2 linked regions of the Drosophila melanogaster genome follow. The protein of the gene in region 1 purifies or fractionates together with the protein of each later gene. This does not show direct contact. Each region holds a gene or a part of one and is shown on either strand. Other genes may lie near its edges.

Region 1 (4,535 bases):
TTGCTTTCCCGACGCCCATTCGCGTAAATCCACTGGTCACTCACTTGATTAGGGCTTCTCGTGCTCTTAGTTGACCGTTTGGAGCGACTTCTGGCCAGTTCCTGTATCCAATCCTATTTTTTCAGCACTCGCTCGCCTCCTCACTCGTCGCCATCGCACTGGTATTGCGTTGTACTTTGTTTTGCTCCCTTTTGGGGCTCGGACTCCTCGGGTTCCTTTAGTTGGTGGTCGTGGTTCAGCGGGGACAGCGCAGTGGCTGCGAAAAGAGCATGACAGTCGCGATAAGAACGCTTTGGGTTTGGTTCACTTTTCTAATTATCGGATATTAGAATTTACATCCCACCCGAACACAGACACATATACAGGGCTAGAGCTGGAACTAAATCGATGTATAGCTGCTGCTGGCTTCCTGACGGCGATGTTTTCGTACATCGATTACTCCCATATTTCGATAGCTATCGACTAAAATTTTAAAAATATTAAAATCCAGTATTCTCAGCAACTGTTTCAGATCATTGTACAGAATTTAGAATTCTCAACTTCAGAACCTGAAACCATATAGAAATATAATACTAAGATATAGCATTAATAACTAGTTTTTAAGATTCTAGAAGTACAAATACAATGAATTGGTTAAAATCAGTTTCTGTGCAAAATACTACTTGCCTTTTCGAATTAACCAAGAAAATTAACCGATTTTCAGTGGTGCGTTTATATTTTGTGTTGAACAATAATGCATTTGAGTTATGAAACATTAAAATCACATGACTGCGGGCTACTTGATCCAGAGATACATTTTCCCCTGGATGGTGTGCTTGACGGGATTGATCTTCTTCAGGATTTTCGTCATGGTCTCGACCAAACGGTCGCTGGAGACAGGCGTCTTCTTGTTCTTGAACTTGGTGAGCAACTCGGTGGCGGTCAGGGGCTTTCGCTTAAGATACCGACGCACCGCCTCCTCGGTGATGCCGTAGTCCCTAAACAAAATACATGAAATTAGAATTAGGAATTCCAGTATATCACGGCTTTACTCACTCTACTTTGCCGCCAGAGAAGGAAGTGGGCAGCGATGTGCTAATCTCGTTCTTAGGCCTCTTTGCTGGCGTGCTGGTGGGACTGTTGCTTGTGTCCGAAGCGGTGAGATCGCTGGGTAAGCTGTTCATCTTGCGCTTGCTGGCATCCGTCGAGAGCGTTGGAGTGGCCGAGCGAGATTTATTGGCATTGCTGCTGCTGGCGATGACCTTGCTGCTCGCAGCGCTCTCTTTCTCCTTTTCCTTTTCCTTGTCTTTGTCCTTGACGACGACCTTCTTCTTGGGCGGTCCGTTGCTAAGGTCGTCCTCGGAGTCTGTGCTGTCAGAGCTGAAGTCTGTGGACGAGTCACCGCTGCCATTCGACTTGCCCTTCTTGTCGTCCTTTGTGGGTTTCTTCTTCTTTTTGTCCTTGGATACCTCGTCCTTGCCCTTATCCTTCTTTTTTTTCTCGCCGTCGGCATCCTCCTTGTCCGACTCATCAGACTTCTTCTCATCATCCTCCTCTTCATCGGAGGTAAGCAGCTTGCGGAGCGCATCTTCCTCGGCCACGCCTTTCATGTCCTTGTCCACCTTTGCCTCTGGATCTGGTTCGCTAGAATAGGGTATAAGAAATTAGTAGATGTGGTCCAAATTGTATTGCCATTATCAGAATCGTTTGGGGCACATACTCTTCACTGGAGCTGGTGTCGTAGTCCATTTCTCTGCCCTCCTCGTCACCATCGTCCGACTCCTCGAAGGCCTCGTCATCAACATCCCTCTTTTTCTTTTTCTTGTCTGCGCCCTTCTTGCCCTTTCCCTTGGCCTTGCCATCGTCGCTGTCTTCCTGCTCCTTCTTCTTTTTATCCTCCTCGTCCTCCGAATCCGACTCATCCTCGGAATCAATCCATTCATCCATGTCAGTGATCTTGAGCTCCTTGGATTTTTTGGTGGCTGCCTTAATTAGCTTAGCCTCCTCCGGATCCTGCTCCTCTTCCTCATCGCCGCGCAGACGCTTTCGCAACATAAGGGAGAAGTAGTTCATCACCTTTTTGCGCCGACCAAATTCCTGTTCGGCCTCCTCCGCCGACAGCGATTTGTAGCGCTGAATAGGCTGGAAGTTGTACCACTCGGTCAAGGGGTATGCCTCAATGGCGCCGTCTGGTGCATGGGTGAACACATAGAAAGCTGCATTCTCGCCTACGCCGCCCTCGCGGATGCCTTTGAACTTCTTTCCAGTCTTGCCACCCACTTTAAGGATCCATGGCTGTGCCTCTGGACGGTACTTTCTCGCTATAATGCCAAACTTCTTGCGGCGCGCCTCCTCGCGCTGATCCCGGTTGTACTCCGATCCAGCACCAAACTTGGGCTGATCCTCCTCCATGCCCCGGAACTCCTTCATGTTGTTTTCCCGCTCCAGTTTCACATTTCTCCACTGCGCGAAATCCACATTGAGCGTGGCGTTGAACCGCATCACATGGTGCTTCTTGGGCATCTTGGGCACGCGGATCTTGAACTCCTGCACGTTGGCGGATGACGAGGCGGATCCTGAGGCGACAGAGGCTGCGGCGGCGGCAGCTGCGGACGTGGAGCTCCCGCTGGCAGCGCTCGGCTGCATGAAATCAAGCGAAGACCGCAAATAAGTGTTGGCGCCGGAAGCGGCAGGGTAAAGACTTACCGTCGACTTTGACGCGCTCGACATGGCTTAATGTTTGCTAATCATATGTTGCTTCTATCTGGATATTTTATACTTTTCCCCAAACTCTTACAATTCGCGGCGCGGGCAGAAAAGTTGGATTTTCTAGCGATGTCCGATAACAGAAGTGCAGTTATTCTTTGGAAGCAAGTGTATCGTATCGTTTGGGCAGAAAAATAATATTTATTCCAAGAGATTTTGATAAACAAATTGGAAAAGTAGATATTATAAGATTGCATATTCAAGCCCTACAAGGTATTTAAAAACTTCAAAGTTTTGTAATGTTCTATCAAAATAAAGTGACAGCCGATATCCGTTCACAGTCACGGTTATCGATTACCTCTTTTTAGATAAACGATTGTCGCCATAGCAAATAACGATAAATTCACAAAGCGCTGTCTAGTTTGTTTGGATTTCATTTGCAGTTTGTCGCTTAAATGTTAGGGAAAATGTCGCGGAACGTGACGCTCTCGGATGAACAAAGTCGGCTTAATGCGCGTCTGGAGGCGCACATGGTTTACATATGTCCGGAATGCGGCAAGGCGTTCCGCACTCAGGCGGAGTGGCGACAGCATCTGAACACGGCAAGTTGCGGGTTTTGTGCAAATCAAGTTCTGCTTTAATAATGGTTTGAAATGTGCCCACAGAAACACGACTATCTAAAGAAGACGTACTCAGATTTCAACTTCATCCAGATCGACGAGCGATTCCATGAGTGCCAGCTGTGCTTCAAATGGGTGGAGAATGCCCACAAGACAATCGCCCTCCTGCAGTACCACTACTTTATGCATCTGGAGCACAGTGAAACCTACCGCTGCGTGCACTGCCGCATGGCGTACACGAGGCGCCGGGCTCTGAACGTCCACCTACTGGACACGCACATGCGGGAGATCGAGAAGTACGAGAACAAGCTGCGCCAGATGAAGCGGCAGCAGGCGAAACCCACTACAGCGGCCGCACCAGCTGGAAATGCAGAGAAGCCGATGGCTGTGAAGCCGCGTGGGCGTCCCAAAGGTTCCACGAACAGAAAGCAAAATGATCTGCTGCAAAAGGCGCTGATGGACATTGATCTGAACACAGAAATGGAAAAGTCCCCAGTGACAGCACTAGCGGCTCCTGTAAACGAACCTAAGCCCATTTCAAATGTCAGCGAGCTGAATCTAGATCGGTGTTTGAATGCCTACGAGGACATCGTGCGCAAGGAGGAGAAAGAGGTGGTGCCGAAGTATGACGACGAGTTGGATGCGCTCTGCAAGGAGTTTTTTGATGATGGCCCCTCCGCCGGCAAAGGAGAAGCTAATGAGGAGCAGCAGCAAGACGATGCGCACCTGCAGCAAGGAAATCAGGAGGTGGTCATCATCGAGATCGATGCACTCGGCAAGGAGGAAGTGGCCCAGCTGAAGAAGGAAATGAAGTCGGACCCAATAAGTCAACCGACTAAGCGTCGACGCATCTCTACGACGCCCAGCCGCGACTCAGACACGGAAATGTCCACCAACGGCCTCACGAAGCTCATATCGTACTTGTGTCCGAAGTGCGGCAAGGAAATCGCCTCGATGGACGGTTGGCGGGCACACGTATTCAAGAAGCACGACTTCGAGCACATAATCGAGAACAGTTTTAAGATCCTGGAGTCCGGGCGCAAGGCCATGTGCCTGCAGTGCCGTGAGGTGCAACCAACGACCGTGCGCTCACAACTGCAGAAGCACTGCTTCAAGCATCTGCCCTACCGGTCGTACCTCAAGTGCACACTCTGCGATCGCACCAAGACCAGCACCTCAAAGATCCTCAATCACATTCGCTACAACCACCAGGAGGAGCTGCAGCGTAAA
Region 2 (3,658 bases), 4.4 Mb from region 1:
TGTGTGCCCCCTTATTCGAATTCAATTTTTATGTATATTATTTTCAGGCCGAGAGATCAATGCGCTTTCCCATGCGGTACAACAAGATCAAGAGGCTGCATTAGATATATGTTCTTGCCAGATTATTTACCCGCAATCGTGTACAAATGTAAGTTTTAGTTACGTATTATTAGGAAGCTTGCAATAGAAAGAATGCTTTAGCTTAAGCTTATCGATGTATGAATCAATATTTCTTTAGAGTAGTAAACCAGTATTATCTAAGCTCGATTTTCCTAAGCATGAAGCCGTTTTTTAGTTTTTCTTTCACTTCACTTTTTTAACTTTTTACGACGCTTTTAGTTGCTTATGAAATTTTCACATTTTTATTAATTTCTATTTCTTTTGAACATTTTTGATTTATTTTACTTTACCTACGAATAGATTTATTTCGTATTCTTATTATTTCTATGATTTCCTAAAAATTTAACACTATACCTCCTTTGATTTAGAACAAAAATAGACAAATGACTTTTTGATTGACGAAGCGCGTGTTTTGGAAATCCTCATGAGCTGATAGTACTAAATTCAAGTACCTGATCTCGTCTGTACAAAAGTATAAACATAAGAACTCTTCGGACATAAGACAAAGTTCAAGATAAATTAAGGATAAAGTGTATATATACGTATGTATTTACCAGAGTGCAAGCTAGTGTCTATTTACAATCATTTTAAGATATAATGTTTTTTTCGTAAGTATAACGTGTAGTTCTTAAGGAATAAAACGGAACCATGCAATTACTTAATGTGTTTTAATGAAAGTAAGTCGGCGATTCTCCCAATGCTACTCCGAGTCGCTGCTGCCTGACTTGTGCTCCTCCTCTTTCTTCTCTTCAGTCTTGTAGTGGCGATATTCTTTCTTGAGCTCCCACATGTTCTTGTGCGGGTTCTTCATATTGTAATCGCAGACATCCTTGAGAATCTCCTTCAGGTAGCTAATCGGCTGGTTGGTGATCTTGACCAGATCCTTGATGTTATAGTATTGATGCTTCTCGAATGCGTGGAAGAGCATATCCATCACGGCATTCTTGTCGTCGCGCGCCTTCTTGCCCTCGGCCTTCTTTCGCTCCCGATATTCAATCTGCAGGAATGGAGGAGTTATATATACATATATATTACCAAAACAGAGTGTATTATTGTTCTCACGTTGTGTGCGTGGTCTTTTACAGGCTTAAAGTTCTGCACGATTTTGTCGATAGGCTGCACACGTCGCTGTGGTTCCGATGCCTTGCGTATGGACTCCAGCTTTAGTTTCATGTAGCAGTTGTCGGCGATGGGTCGGCACTCTAGCTTTTGCACAATCCTGCCCTCCATATACAACTTTTCGTTATCCGGCTGTGCCGCCGAGGTAGTCGAGTTCTCCTTGCCATCGGACGGTGCCATGTGCGAGAATACGCCGAGCGTCTGCTTGGTGACCTGCGACACGTCCAGGATGTGCTCGGTGGGTATTTTCTCCTCGGGATCTAGAGCCAAAACGGCGGGCGTGAGGGAAAGCGAGACCTGGGCCTTTTGGCCAGGTGTCTTGTTTATCCGGAGCTTGCCCACGTCCATGTTCGTCGGCGCCTTCTCCCATTTCTGGGCAATGTACTTGGGCACCTTCACCAGCCATACGCCTCGCCCAGCATTGGACAGGTCCAGGTCCTTGTCGATGATCTGTGTCTTTTCCTTATCCTCCTTCGACATTCTGTTTGCTTTAAATTATTAAAAACGAATTTGCAAAGCCACTTGTACCGTTTTCGGCTTTGCTTGTTGTTGTTGTTTTGCCGTAAATTTAGTGCGGTCGAATAAACAGTTTCGAAAAAATGCTAGTTTAGTATATCACGGTATTTTTCTTTCGGTATTTATTCGTTATGTTATTATTAGGCGCCAAGTTTGAAAAAGTCCGAAGTGCAGATAACGAAATAGAACTATTTACATATCTGAATTTTATATAGTTAGCAAGAACTTTAGAACATAAGAAATAACTTTTATAATGAAATGTCTTAGAAAGAATATGATATCTTAATTTTGATTTATTCAGCAAATTTTATGACTAAATTTAGAACACAACATTGTATTGATTTAAGATGAATTTATGAATTGATGTGACACCTTATCCAGCATTATCCACCCCATTGCCCTATTAAATTGTTTTTCTAATATTTTTATTGTTTTTTCATTCTTTTTAAATTAGGTTGACAGCATGGTGATTGTGTAGAATCTATTCCTCCTCCTCTTCCTCGTCCTCCTCCTCCTCCGCATCGAGATCCTCCTCGTAGCTATTACCACCAGTGGGGGTAACATTAGAGCCGAGCTCGATGATCGGTTCCTGTTCCTCAACGGGCGTGACGGGCTCTTCGACCACAGGCTCGCTGGTCTCGTTCTCGTTCTTCTGGATGGCCTGCAGTTCCTGGGCGGCAAGCTCGGATTCCTGGCGGGCGATCTCGGCCAGCTCGGCGGCCTGGCGAGCAAGTTCTCCCTCACTCTCCTTCTCGATCTCCGCCAGGCGCTCCAGCTCCTGCTCACGGACACGCTGCTCCTCCTCCAGGCGAGCCTCTTCAGCGACACGAGCCTCTTCGGCGGCCTTTTGGGCAGCTTCTTCGGCGGCACGAGCCTCCTCTACAGCCTTCAGTGCGGCTTCTTCGGCGGCCTTTTGGGCAGCTTCTTCAGCCAGACGAGCCTCTTCGGCTGCCTTTAAAGCGGCTTCTTCGGCAGCCTTTTGGGCAGCTTCCTCGGCGGCCTTTTGGGCGGCTGCCTCCTCTGCTAGGCGAGCTTCCTCAGCAGCTTTTTGGGCAGCTTCCTCGGCGACCTTTTGGGCGGCAGCCTCCTCCGCTAGACGCGCTTCTTCGGCAGCTTTCTGGGCAGCATCTTCAGCGGCTTTTAGGGCTTTAGCTTCTTCGGCTGCTTTTTGGGCGGCAGCTTCAGCCAGGAGAGCCTCTTCGGCAGCGATTTTGGCGGCCTCCTCGGCAGCCTTTTTGGCCTTAGCAGCAGCCTGCTTTTCGGCCTCAGCCGTCAGGCGATCCCTCTCCTCCTTGAGAGCCCTTCGGAAACATCAAAAATTTAATAGGAAATGAGCTATGAGCTGGTGTAGGTAGTGAGCACCCACCTCTCTTCCCTACGCTTGGCTTCATCGGCTTTCTGGGCACGCTTCTTTTCCAAGTCCACCTCGTCGAGAGCCTCTTCGTTAACGGTTAGAAGACGCTCCTGGCGCAGACGCTGTTTCTCCTTGGCCTCCACATCGAGGGGATCCTCCAGGGGCCTAGGGGCAGAAAATTTTCTAGATGGACGGTTAGGATCCAACTCGGCATCTGAAATGTAATGCTTGTCAGAAGAGCCTTCACCACAGTGCCTATGCATTTGTATCTTATTTTTCATTTTACATTAAATATCCTTCACTTTGTTGTTCACTCGGCTAATGTCATTATACATTATACTTATACTTACAATACTTACTCTTAGGATCGGCGATTGTTGGTTTTCTTATAGACGAGGCAAGGAAAATTGCAGATACAGTAGACGCCAATGTTTTAGAGTATTGTGTGGCATTAATGGGAGTTTTTAAAAAGTTCTGGGTATGAAGAATTGAACCAAAATGTGGTTAATGGGTTAAGCATACATACATATATACATCTCAAAATGCAAA

What was found.
Region 2: the proteins of TfIIFalpha (region 1) and TfIIFbeta purify together in Drosophila melanogaster (affinity purification with western blotting; 2 studies listed by BioGRID, with this or other methods). This does not show direct contact.

The regions. Positions count from the first base shown.
Region 1 is NT_033777.3:6,378,770-6,383,304, reverse strand, and holds TfIIFalpha (transcription factor IIFalpha), read right to left. Parts: upstream 2,839-4,535; 5' UTR 2,710-2,838; coding exon 2,686-2,709; intron 2,620-2,685; coding exon 1,700-2,619; intron 1,624-1,699; coding exon 1,036-1,623; intron 978-1,035; coding exon 776-977; 3' UTR 701-775; downstream 1-700. Other genes in the region: CG1024 (uncharacterized protein), read left to right, coding at 3,141-3,287, 3,351-4,535. UniProt on the Drosophila melanogaster protein: TFIIF is a general transcription initiation factor that binds to RNA polymerase II and helps to recruit it to the initiation complex in collaboration with TFIIB. It promotes transcription elongation.
Region 2 is NT_033777.3:10,765,981-10,769,638, forward strand, and holds TfIIFbeta (transcription factor TFIIFbeta), read right to left. Parts: upstream 1,825-3,658; 5' UTR 1,720-1,824; coding exon 1,183-1,719; intron 1,118-1,182; coding exon 821-1,117; 3' UTR 642-820; downstream 1-641. Other genes in the region: CG45076 (uncharacterized protein), read right to left, coding at 2,237-3,056, 3,122-3,323. UniProt on the Drosophila melanogaster protein: TFIIF is a general transcription initiation factor that binds to RNA polymerase II and helps to recruit it to the initiation complex in collaboration with TFIIB.